3 linked regions of the Oryzias latipes genome follow. The protein of the gene in region 1 interacts with the protein of each later gene in a pairwise test. Links are inferred from orthologs where the notes say so. Each region holds a gene or a part of one and is shown in the gene's direction. Other genes may lie near its edges.

Region 1 (3,652 bases):
GGCAAACCTAATTTAATTGTTTATTGGTGGAGTTTATTTATTTAAAAAAGGAAAAACCTTTCTGGCTTTTTCCATAAAAACACTAATATTTTTGTAATATAGAGATGGAATTCCAATCAACTTCTTGAGGAATTTAAATTATTTGTGTGGTTTCTTAACATTGTCTTCCATGATTCTACATTTGTAGTATACTGGCAGTATAAAAAGTGAATTGCTGTATTTAAGGTTTTTGGAGTTTGAAGTGATCTTATTACCCAGATTAGATATTTTTTTCTGAATTAAATTACACCAAAATGTGAATCCAGCTTTTACATTTTTTTTTTAGGAATGTTACTTTCCAGGCAAATTGCTTGAAGTCCTCAACTAGAAACATGTATGTAGTAAAAGCTGTTTTTCCTTTAGTTAACCCTCAGTTCAACATCACACCAAAATGCTCATTTGAGAACTCTTGTAGTATTTGAGTGGTCAGCTGTTGAAGACTTTATTGAATGTTTCTGTCTCTCATGACACAATTCCTTGAAATATTTCTAATATTTAGCTATTTTTCAGTAGTGTGTGTGTGTGTGTTTGTGTGTTTGGCTCTGACGATGGTTTCAGGGTGTGTAGGAACTGAGTGAATAACCAATTACCTCAGTGAAGTTAGTCTTGTACAACGAAGATTGCATCTTGGGTAGATTTAGTCTTGTAATGCTCTTCAACCAAAACCACACCCACCTTCATGAGTCATTCTCACATCAACCACATGGTTTGGAACTTGAAAACTCCACTTTTTGACATCAGCTTACACTGAAACGATACTATAAACTCTTAACTCTTGAGTGCTTTAATTTAAATGCCTGTTGATCCAATATATTTAATACAAAATGTTGTGCCTTTTATATAACTATATAGCGTAATTGTGCTAATTGTGTGTGTGTTTTTTTGGGGATGTATGCTAGTTCATTCACTCTCAGAAATCTTGAAAATTTATTGATTGCGGTAGCAGATAGCAATTAACCGATTCTGTTCCTGTTTGTTTGTGTTTTATGTAAGTGGAATTGCATATAAATTGACAATAAATCAGTTTTTAACAAAGAAACATTTGTCCTTGTTTTGTTTTGACTGGAGTATTTATTATTATTATTTATTTTTTGGTAGTGCAGACTAATTGGACATTTTTCTATTTTTTTTTTTTTAAATTAAAGTCATCAAAGAAATGCAAAAAGACAAGATTCTGAGTGAAAGAACTAGCAGCCTTTTTTCCAAGTTCTTAAAAACCTCTAAGCATCCCTGTTATTGCCTGAAATGGTTTCTTTTTAAAACAATTTCCTAAACTTTTTACTGCATTGTTCATAACACGTGGAGTACAAAGCATTGTGCACGGCCACATTTATTTACAATTTTCAGGGACATTTACATAAAATCATGAATAATAGTTGTTTGCTATTACGCTAGCATTTAACCCTTGTGCTATCCTAGGCACTTTACCATTGGGAGTTGGGTCATCTAGACCCACTAGACAGTGCTCTGAACCTTTTTTCTTCAATGATTTGTGATCTTCACTGGTGTCCATGGATTACATGAAATCTTTCCACCTTTGTCATAGTAGGAAGAACACATCAATGTAAGGGTGGGGTCATCTAAGATAGCACAAGACAAACATATAGATTTATTTATACATGGCATTATTATGTCCAAAAAAAAACAAAGATGTTCCCAGAACAGTAAAGCAAGTGCTTTTTCCCTCTGTGCCATAGGGACACAGGCACCCTTGGGGGCAGGATTTGGAAATCCTTTTGCCTCAGCAGTGGGCACTAGCCTGGGCTCCTCTACCCTTGGAGGTACTACCTCTGAATTTTGGAAAATGTTGCTCGCTTTGTGCTATTTTATTTTATTCTTTCTCCTAGCGTTTCACTTTTCTCCTTAATGACAACAAACCCTTTAAGCAGGAGATTGTGGAGATCTTCTTGTTTCAAAGGAACAGGTTGCTAGTGTGTGTTTGTGGGTACAGTCACTGTATAACACCCCCCCCCCCCTCTTCCTTCATTCGTAGTTTAAAGTACATTCAAGAAAAGTGACTCCTATCTTTATTTTGACATTGAAATCACTAGAAATGTGACTTCCGGTCCTTGAAAGAAAAAAATTGGCAAAAGTTACCTGGTTCTAATATTAATAGTTATTTTTCTCCAGAAAACGTTTGCACTTCTAATTAAAACATCCACAATTACAGGAATAGGTAGTCTGAGCAACTTACACTGATGGTTTTGTTCTTTTACCTTCCACAATCTTGGGTTTGTGGTTGTGTGTAGCTTTGAAACTGTATTGCATCAGCCTGTTTTTCAGATCTTTTGCCTAAGTTTCCCTCCCCTCACTGCCAAACTCTCTTCTTCTTTTTGTGTGCCGACGCCCTCGTTTTCGGTTTTCCGTCTGACTCCCATGTCCCTCTTGTCCCCCAGGATTTGCTGGTGGACCAGGATTCGGCGGCGTGGGCTGTGCGGGGTCGTCTTTTGGCTTCTCCACCGCTGCCAAGCCCGCAGGGGGCAGTCTGAGTGCAGGTATGTTCAGTCTGCGTAAATACTGTCCTCCGACTCGCCTTCAACAGTAGCAGAACACAGAAAACACTTTTTGATGATTCTTCTAGATGCCTTCATCTGATGGTGAGGAAGGTAACTTGCATACGTTTATAAGTTTTGTAGGAATTTTTGTTACTACGCTCCATCCAAGAGCATCGCTCATGATATGCCCCAATACTCCATAAATACTCCATAAATGTGAGTTTTTTTTTTTTTCTAAATTGTTGTTTCCATTAGGTGAAATTGTCGCGAATCCATTTGTTCATTGAAGTGAAAACGCAGCTAACATGTCCGTATCATACGTGATCTGTGTCCGTTTTGTCACTATACCGCCAGTCTGTTTTGTTGGTCAAACATTTGGAGCTTCACATCCATCAGAACAGGCGGATCCTACTTATTAAAAAAAAAACTGCAGCTGTAACTCATTTTCTGCATCAAAATAAACCGCTCTAAATTTAAAAATGTCCCCCATCGTTTTGCTCTGTAATGTTTGTGGATAAAGTAGGAAGAAGAAGAAAACAGACCGGTGATATCAAGACGAGCACATAAAAAAAATGGAGCACAGTAGTTGTAGTTTTTTACTTTTGTAGTTCCTAAAAAAACATTCAAATGAAAAACACCCATTTATGTATTTATTTCTTTTTATTTAATACAATACCTTTCTATTCTACAACGAACAAACTGTTGTTTTCATAGCAGCAAATGCTAACATGGTCTTCTCCTTGATCCTGCAGCATCTCCCCATGACCTGGATGTCTTTTCTATGTCCACTAGGTTTTGGCAGCACCAGCAGCTCGGGCTTCAACTTCAGCAACCCGGGCATAAACCCGTCGGCTGGCCTGACCTTTGGCGTGTCTAACCAGCCTGCTGTGGGTTTCGGAGCAGGAGGGCCACTTCTCCAGCTAAAAAAGCCTCCCGCCGGTAACAAAAGGGGCAAGAGATAGGCATAGCAGAAAGACTGAACTTTGGGACAAAAAAAAAAAAAAAGAAGGCTCCAGTGCTTGAAGTAAGTAAGGCCTGGATTTTAAAAGCGCAAGTAAGGGGGAAATAGAAAAAAAAAGACAAAAGTGATTAGACATGCCACTTTTCAATAAAAGGAT
Region 2 (3,442 bases), on another chromosome or scaffold:
CGTGGAATGAAGCGGCGGGTTTTGGGGGGGCTTCTCTCCCCAGGCATCCTCTGTTCCCTCTGCTGGCGCTGCTGTTCGAGAAGTGTGAGCAGTCCACGCTGAGCGCCGACTGCATCACCTCCGCCAGCTTCGACGTGGACATCGAGAACTTCGTCCGCAGTCAGGAGAAGGAGGGCCGGCCCTTTTTCAGCGAGGACCCTGAACTCGACAACTTGGTGAGTCGCCTTGGTAATGCTGCCCCCCCAATACAAAAAAAACCAGCCAGCTGATCCTTTTCAGGAGCTTTCTCAGCGTCCAATCAGAAGTTTGGTGCTTGGCAGGAAGTCAGACACAAACATGGATGTGGTCATTCCTGCATGAACGGCGTGTTCAGGTCTAACCATATGATCAGCGGATCCATGCTGATGACACGCCGCTCTCTTTCTGCTCTGTGGAGATGGTGAAAGCCATCCAGGTGCTCCGGATCCACCTGCTGGAGCTGGAGAAGGTGAGCGACCTGTGCAAGGACTTCTGCAGCCGCTACATCGCCTGCCTCAAGACCAAGATGAACAGCGAGACGCTGCTGAGCGGCGAGCCCGGCAGCCCCTACTCGCCCGTGCAGGGTCAGGCGCAGGCCTTCTCCCCCACCAAGACTCAGGTGAGCTCTGGCCCCCTCCTCCTGCAGGTAGACGTGTGCGACCCCGAGGTCATGTGTTCCGGTCTGTGTGCAGACCCCCAGCTCCATGTCCGGGGCCATCAGTCCCCAGGGTCAGATCGTGGTCCCGGCCTCCACCCTGCAGCAGGGCAATGTCACCGTGACCGCCGTCAACCCCAACCAGATGGTGGCAGGTGGGTCCGCGAGCGCCCCCCCCCGAACCGTCAGGCAGCAGCTGGAAGCTGAGCATACCTGTGTGTGTTTCAGGAGGGGCCGTGTACCAGCCCGTCACCGTGGTTACCCCCCAGGGTCAGGTGGTGACCCAGACTCTCTCACCGGGAACCATCCGCGTCCAGAACAATCAGGTACGTCCGTGTGGTGCCAGTAGGAGGGGCCATTGTCCGCGAGCGCGCTCATGAGTAGAGGTGGCCGATCAATCGGAGTGTCCATAGTATCTGCATCAAAGTATTGATACTAGCGTGATGAGATCGATACTTTAGATACTTTGGTCGCAGTTTTGTAAAAATGCGTCCAGTAAAGAGCTCATGCCAGCGCGGCGTCTGTCCGCCTGCAGTGTTGCTACATTAAAACGGAGCAAAAGCCGCCGATTTGAGCGGTAAACTCCCCAATCTGTGGGTGTAAACAGCACCCCCCCCACACACCTACCCCTCCCTGTGTTATGCCATCACTAACATACATGTTCTATATTTGAAGCAGCTTCAGTTCAGGTTGTAATTAGTTAATAAACATGCTTAACTGTCCCGTGTTTTATTATATACCTAATGAACAACAATGATTTATTTCCAAAGATTTTCTATGATCAAACATTTCAAGAAAACGTATCGGTGAACAGAAAGCCCCCACAGTCTGTACGACATCCACGCAAGACAGGAAGTACCAAACAGTGCAGTTCCTTGAATGACCACTGGAGGCAGGTTGTCAGATTCCATTTTTCAGGCCCACTTTATGGGGTTGCTGGGGTCTATCCTATCGGTTCTTGGGGAAGGCGGGGTTTACTGTGGACGCTATGCCAACCCGTCACAGCGCTAAATCTGATTGAATCCAGAAATAAACCAGTTTGGTTTTAAAGAGTTTTTCAAAGACTGCTGCTTCATTTCTGTTTTATACCTGGGGGACATCAGTGGTTCCGGGTCATTAGGGGTCGGCTTTTCTGAATTGGGAGGGCCCAAAAGAACTAAAACCTGTTCCCGCCCTATACCTCTCTGCGTTGAGATGGGCGGGGTCAAGTCCAGTAATCGTGCCTGTCGCTCCTCCTCCTCGGTACTGTCGGTTCAGAATCGGGGAGTTCTTCAGGTAGGGGGTCCGGTGTGTCTGGACTCTTGCAGCTCACCTTTGACGGGACGTCTGTGCTCAGTTTCAGCTGCAGTTCCACCAGGATGTGAACCTGTTCAATCACGACGACAACTCCACCAAGAATAAACGCGGCGTCCTTCCCAAACACGCCACCAACGTCATGCGCTCCTGGCTCTTCCAGCACATCGGGGTGAGTGCGTCTGCAGGTGTGGTCGATGCAGAACGTCTGCCATCGTAGCTTCACGCCGTTTCTTCTGGCTCTGCAGCACCCATATCCAACAGAGGACGAGAAGAAGCAGATCGCCACGCAGACCAACCTGACACTCCTGCAAGTCAACAACTGGTGAGTGAGGAGCCTCTGCTGCTGCTGCTGCTGCAGGAACCTCTGCTGCTGCTGCTGCAGGAACCTCTGCTGCTGCTGCTGCAGGAACCTATGCTGCTGCTGCTGCAGGAACCTCAGCTGCTGCTGCAGCAGGAACCTCAGCTGCTGCTGCAGCAGGAACCTCAGCTGCTGCTGCAGCAGGAACCTCTGCTGCTGCAAGAACCTCTGCTGCTGCTGCTGCAGGAACCTATGCTGCTGCTGCTGCAAGAACCTCAGCTGCTGCTGCAGCAGGAACCTCTGCTGCTGCTGCAGCAGGAACCTCAGCTGCTGCTGCAGCAGGAACCTCTGCTGCTGCAAGAACCTCTGCTGCTGCTGCAGCAGGAACCTCTGCTGCTGCTGCAGCAGGAACCTCAGCTGCTGCTGCAGCAGGAACCTCAGCTGCTGCTGCAGCAGGAACCTCTGCTGCTGCTGCAGCAGGAACCTCAGCTGCTGCTGCAGCAGGAACCTCAGCTGCTGCTGCTGCAGCAGCAACCTCTGCTGCTGCTGCTGCAGGAACCTCTGCTGCTGCTGCAGGAACCTCAGCTGCTGCTGCAGGAACCTCAGCTGCTGCTGCAGGAACCTCTGCTGCTGCTGCTGCAGGAACCTATGCTGCTGCTGCTGCAGGAACCTCAGCTGCTGCTGCAGCAGGAACCTCAGCTGCTGCTGCAGCAGGAACCTCAGCTGCTGCTGCAGCAGGAACCTCAGCTGCTGCTGCAGCAGGAACCTCTGCTGCTGCAAGAACCTCTGCTGCTGCTGCAGCAGGAACCTCTGCTGCTGCTGCAGCAGGAACCTCAGCTGCTGCTGCAGCAGGAACCTCAGCTGCTGCTGCAGCAGGAACCTCTGCTGCTGCTGCAGCAGGAACCTCAGCTGCTGCTGCTGCAGGAACCTCAGCTGCTGCTGCTGCAGGAACCTCAGCTGCTGCTGCTGCAGGAACCTCAGCTGCTGCTGCAGCAGGAACCTCAGCTGCTGCTGCAGCAGGAACCTCTGCTGCTGCTGCAGCAGGAACCTCTGCTGCTGCTGCTGCAGCAGCAACCTCTGCTGCTGCTGCTGCTGCAGGAACCTCTGCTGCTGCTGCAGGATCCTCAGCTGCTGCTGCAGGAACCTCAGCTGCTGCTGCAGGAACCTCTGCTGCT
Region 3 (3,951 bases), on another chromosome or scaffold:
GCTAGCATAACCTGCTTTCTGGAATACCCCCCAGGGCAGGCTAATTCTGTGCCAACAGTCCCGCCCTCAACTCATAGGTGAATTTCTGATGACTCCTGCTGCTCTGCAGAAACTACATCTTAGAAAACAACACAAGTTTTTGGATTATGGCTAAAAATGGCATTATGATCAGTTTTTTTATTTTTAAATAGATCAAAAGATGACTTAAGTGGAACTTTTAAATGATATGCATCTACTAAGAAAATCTTTCTTTTCAGTATGACCTTTTTTAGATGTACATAATTTCAAAACTAGTATAGTAATATTGTATAGTGTGACTATTGTGTAAATAATAGAAATTATAGCAGAACTTACAATCTCTCCTCACTTTCTACAAAGAATTTACAAATAATATAAATTATTTGTAAAAAAAACATTTTTGTTCAAACAGAATAAGCAAAATGATTGAATATAGGGTTGTATAGAACCTTTTTTAATAACTTAAAAAAAACTTTTACAAAAACATATTTTAAAACTAAAATAAATGCCATCAACAAGCTGTTGTAGGAATTTCTTTGCTCAAGAAGAGTCTAGAATGCATAGTTTGCTACATTATATTATGATCCATTTTTCAGCTATGTGCTCGGCTCTGCAAACCAGATGATGGCAGCAGAGGGCTCAGATGAGAAACCAGTTACGCTGGAATACAGGGGCTTTGTTGAACAACAGCTATCAGAGGTAAATAAGTGCTGCAGCTTTTCTTTGTCTGGCTCCTCTGTTTTTCTTAGGTAGTGTGTTTTGTCTGAATTTTTTTCAAAATATTTAGTTTTAAAGCATGACTATCTTTATGTTTTCAACAAAGTATTTGTCACCGTTTCGTAACTGATTTAATTTATTTTATAGTTGTCGTCAAATTAAGTAGGAAAAAGATCCCCAGAATAAATGTAACTTATTAGGGGTGCTTGTAGGTGTTGGTAGCATCAGGAACCAGTGTGATGTACTGACAGAGATTTGGTTGCTTTAGGTTGTCTCTGTTGTGTGTTAGACATGTACAGGTTGTACTACAGCAGGAATGACATCAGCTTAGTTCCAGAAAACTCTCACTGGTGATGCGAGCAGACCCCTATGCGAGACATTACCTCATGTCTCCATGTCATTTCCTGCAAACAGATTTTTTTAATTCAATATTTATAAACTGAACTCCTGAGAAACTAGCTATTTTTTATTACCACATTTTTTTCTCCCTATAACTGATTGTATAATAATATTGAAATACTTTATCGTTTGAATAATATACTCATATATTTGTTTAGATTCTATTTTCTTTGTCACTATGCTGTATTTTCGGCTGCATAGATGAAATGAACTGTTCATCTTAATCACCCTTTGTTTAGAAAACATTTCGAGGCGGCATTTGGCCAGTAGGTGGCGATAAAGGGCAGGAACACCTCACCCACACTCTTGCACCAGGGACAATAGATGCGAAAGGGTTCATGTTGAGGCATCTCTGTTGGTGGGAAAACATGTTTTTGTATCATCAGGTGTCCTTGTGGTTAAACACAGCTGCTTTAATGAATCAAACCTAATTGATTAATATGACAGCTCAAGTATATCAAACTTTCTTATCACAAAGTTTGATCTAGAAAGCAAAAAAAAAAACCTGTTCTGCTGTTGAGGCATTCACAGATAAATATAACATTCATCCAAGCAGCAGAACAGAGTTGTGTTTATGATGAATTTAAAGGCCTAAAGTAGTGACATGACTAATTGAATCATTAAAAAAATGTGTGTTGACCTAAACAAATACATAAAAAACAAACCACTTTAGGTCTTCACAGTGTAATCTGTGCTGCTCTGAAACTAGATTAACCCTGTACCCAGTTTACTATTGATTGTGTTTACTGTCTGTCTGGATAGGCTGGCAATTTATCTGATGATTGCCCACTAAATGTCATTTTAGGAGATTTATCACCATAATTCACTGTCGACCATCGGTGCACTGCAACAGGATTATGTTAATGTTTGACCAGGTCAGGAATTCAAAAACCGGTAGTTTCACACCCATTTAATTTACTGAATTAAAAACAATCTTTTTAGGTCTATAAACATACATATGAGTCATATTTTACTAATTAAGATGGATAAGTGTTAGCTTTAGAGTCAGCAATGTTTTATTAAGGGAAAACCATCACTGTGGAACTTGGGTTTAAACATTAAAACACATTAGATCCATTACATGTCAAATCTTTCTTGCACATGTTAACCTTTACAGTTTTTCCCATTCATCATCTAGAGCTTATTCTTTAAATAGTGTGATGTTGTTCTCGCCTTTAACTGTTTTCTTTTTCTCTTTAGCTGTAATTTATTGTTGTTTTTTAATCTCCTCTGCTGCTGTAGTTAATGGATTCTGTCGATCTAAACTGTGGATACTTGCTATGATCTGCACCCCCCCAGTCCAGAGCCCCACCCAATAGAAAATCCACCCATCTTTGACCATCTCCTCTCTTAGTTTTACCGTTCCCTCTCACTAACTCCCTTCTCTAATTACTCCTTCTCCCTTTTCTAACAGCTTCCTGCTGCTCCCACCTGTCCACGCCTCCCTTCATCTCTTTCCCACTGTGACTCCTTCATCCTCACTTTCTACTCATTTCTCTTCTACTTTTTTTTTTCCCCCACTCGCAAACTCTCCCGCCTGACCCCCACGTTCCTTTCAGATGAAAATGCTGGTGGTGTCTATGGCGCAGAGGCTGGAGGAGATCGAAGGTGGCCTTCAGGATGGATGTGATGAGGCCTGACACTGATGGATGCCCGCCCGCTTATCAGAGACCGTGTTTGTCCACGTGTTAACGCACAGTTCCTGTGTTTGAGCTCTTTGTCCTGTATGGTTTACATTATTCCTTCCCACCTGAAATTCCACCTCATTCCTTCATGGGTACATTTTGTTCCACAGCCTCACCTTGCTCTCGTCCCAAGTACAACTGCTGAAACAAAGACTGCCGGCACTCGTAATCAATCATCTTGCCAGCTCGCCTCTCGTGGCACCGCCGTCTCTGTGGGTCTTTGTATGTGTGCCACGGGAAGAATGTTTATTTGTGCAGGATTTCATCATGCAGGCTGCACACTCAGCACAGTGCAGTATTGATCTTTCACTTCGCGGCCACACACACTTCTTCTTCTCTTATGTCTTTTCAACGGATAGTGTGGAATTTTCCCATTAAAGCAAATTCAAATTTGCTGAAATCCCAAAGAACATGTTATTTTGGGGTGGCTGAAATATTATTTTCTGTTTAAAAAAAAAAAGGCAATTGTATCATTTCTTTTTTGTGTGATTTCATGTATTTTTACGTAATAAAGTGTCACCTGTTCCATAATAAAAAATTTTTTCAAACCATCGACAAAGTATCGTCTTTGTATTTATACAAAAAAACAATCCGAGCTATCAACATAATCTTTTTAAAGTGTTCTTTTTTGCAGAGATTTTTAGGGATCATCTCATCCTGCTATGCTTTCCAAGTAAAACTTCCTCTTGGATTCTAGAGTTAAAAGGTTAACTCCAGGGGTGGCAGGGATGATTAAATATTAATACCTCAATGTTTGTTTACTAAATGACCTCTAATGTGCCTAGCAACACTTTTCTACCATAAACGCCGAAGCAGCTCAGTGCTGTACCGCTCGCCCGCCCTCACCCACGAGGTTTCATCAGCCTCACAGAACAACAACAGTCGAGGATGGCCAACCAGCACGCTGTATCCAAGGGCAGGTTGCGATGGCAACTGAGAGCATGTGCTACGCCGAGAGTGCCTGTTGCCATCTCGTCATCGCTTTGAGCGCTGGAGGAGCAGTCGGCCCGCTCACTGGCCAAAACGCCTGTCAGTTGAAGTTATCCCCCACGCAGAGGAGGAGTTCTGAATGAACACCCCCTCCCCAAAACCCCTAATCTCCGCAGGATGTTTTTCTCCAGCTCTAACTCCA

Evidence for each region.
Region 2: the proteins of nup58 (region 1) and pknox1 interact in binary tests that used the Homo sapiens proteins (3 or more experiments, as listed by UniProt). The link is inferred for Oryzias latipes from reciprocal best matches to the Homo sapiens genes NUP58 and PKNOX1.
Region 3: the proteins of nup58 (region 1) and mis18a interact in binary tests that used the Homo sapiens proteins (3 or more experiments, as listed by UniProt). The link is inferred for Oryzias latipes from reciprocal best matches to the Homo sapiens genes NUP58 and MIS18A.

What each region holds. Positions count from the first base shown.
Region 1 is NC_019878.2:13,563,851-13,567,502, reverse strand, and holds part of nup58 (nucleoporin p58/p45), read left to right. Parts: intron 1-1,736; coding exon 1,737-1,820; intron 1,821-2,435; coding exon 2,436-2,534; intron 2,535-3,326; coding exon 3,327-3,496; 3' UTR 3,497-3,652. UniProt on the Homo sapiens protein: Component of the nuclear pore complex, a complex required for the trafficking across the nuclear membrane.
Region 2 is NC_019879.2:31,118,824-31,122,265, forward strand, and holds part of pknox1 (homeobox protein PKNOX1), read left to right. Parts: intron 1-43; coding exon 44-215; intron 216-436; coding exon 437-637; intron 638-710; coding exon 711-828; intron 829-901; coding exon 902-999; intron 1,000-2,009; coding exon 2,010-2,138; intron 2,139-2,214; coding exon 2,215-2,291; intron 2,292-3,442. UniProt on the Homo sapiens protein: Activates transcription in the presence of PBX1A and HOXA1.
Region 3 is NC_019872.2:10,921,757-10,925,707, forward strand, and holds the end of mis18a (protein Mis18-alpha), read left to right. Parts: intron 1-614; coding exon 615-717; intron 718-1,939; coding exon of another isoform or gene 1,940-2,005; exon of another isoform or gene 2,006-2,009; intron 2,010-2,693; coding exon 2,694-2,774; 3' UTR 2,775-3,357; downstream 3,358-3,951. UniProt on the Homo sapiens protein: Required for recruitment of CENPA to centromeres and normal chromosome segregation during mitosis.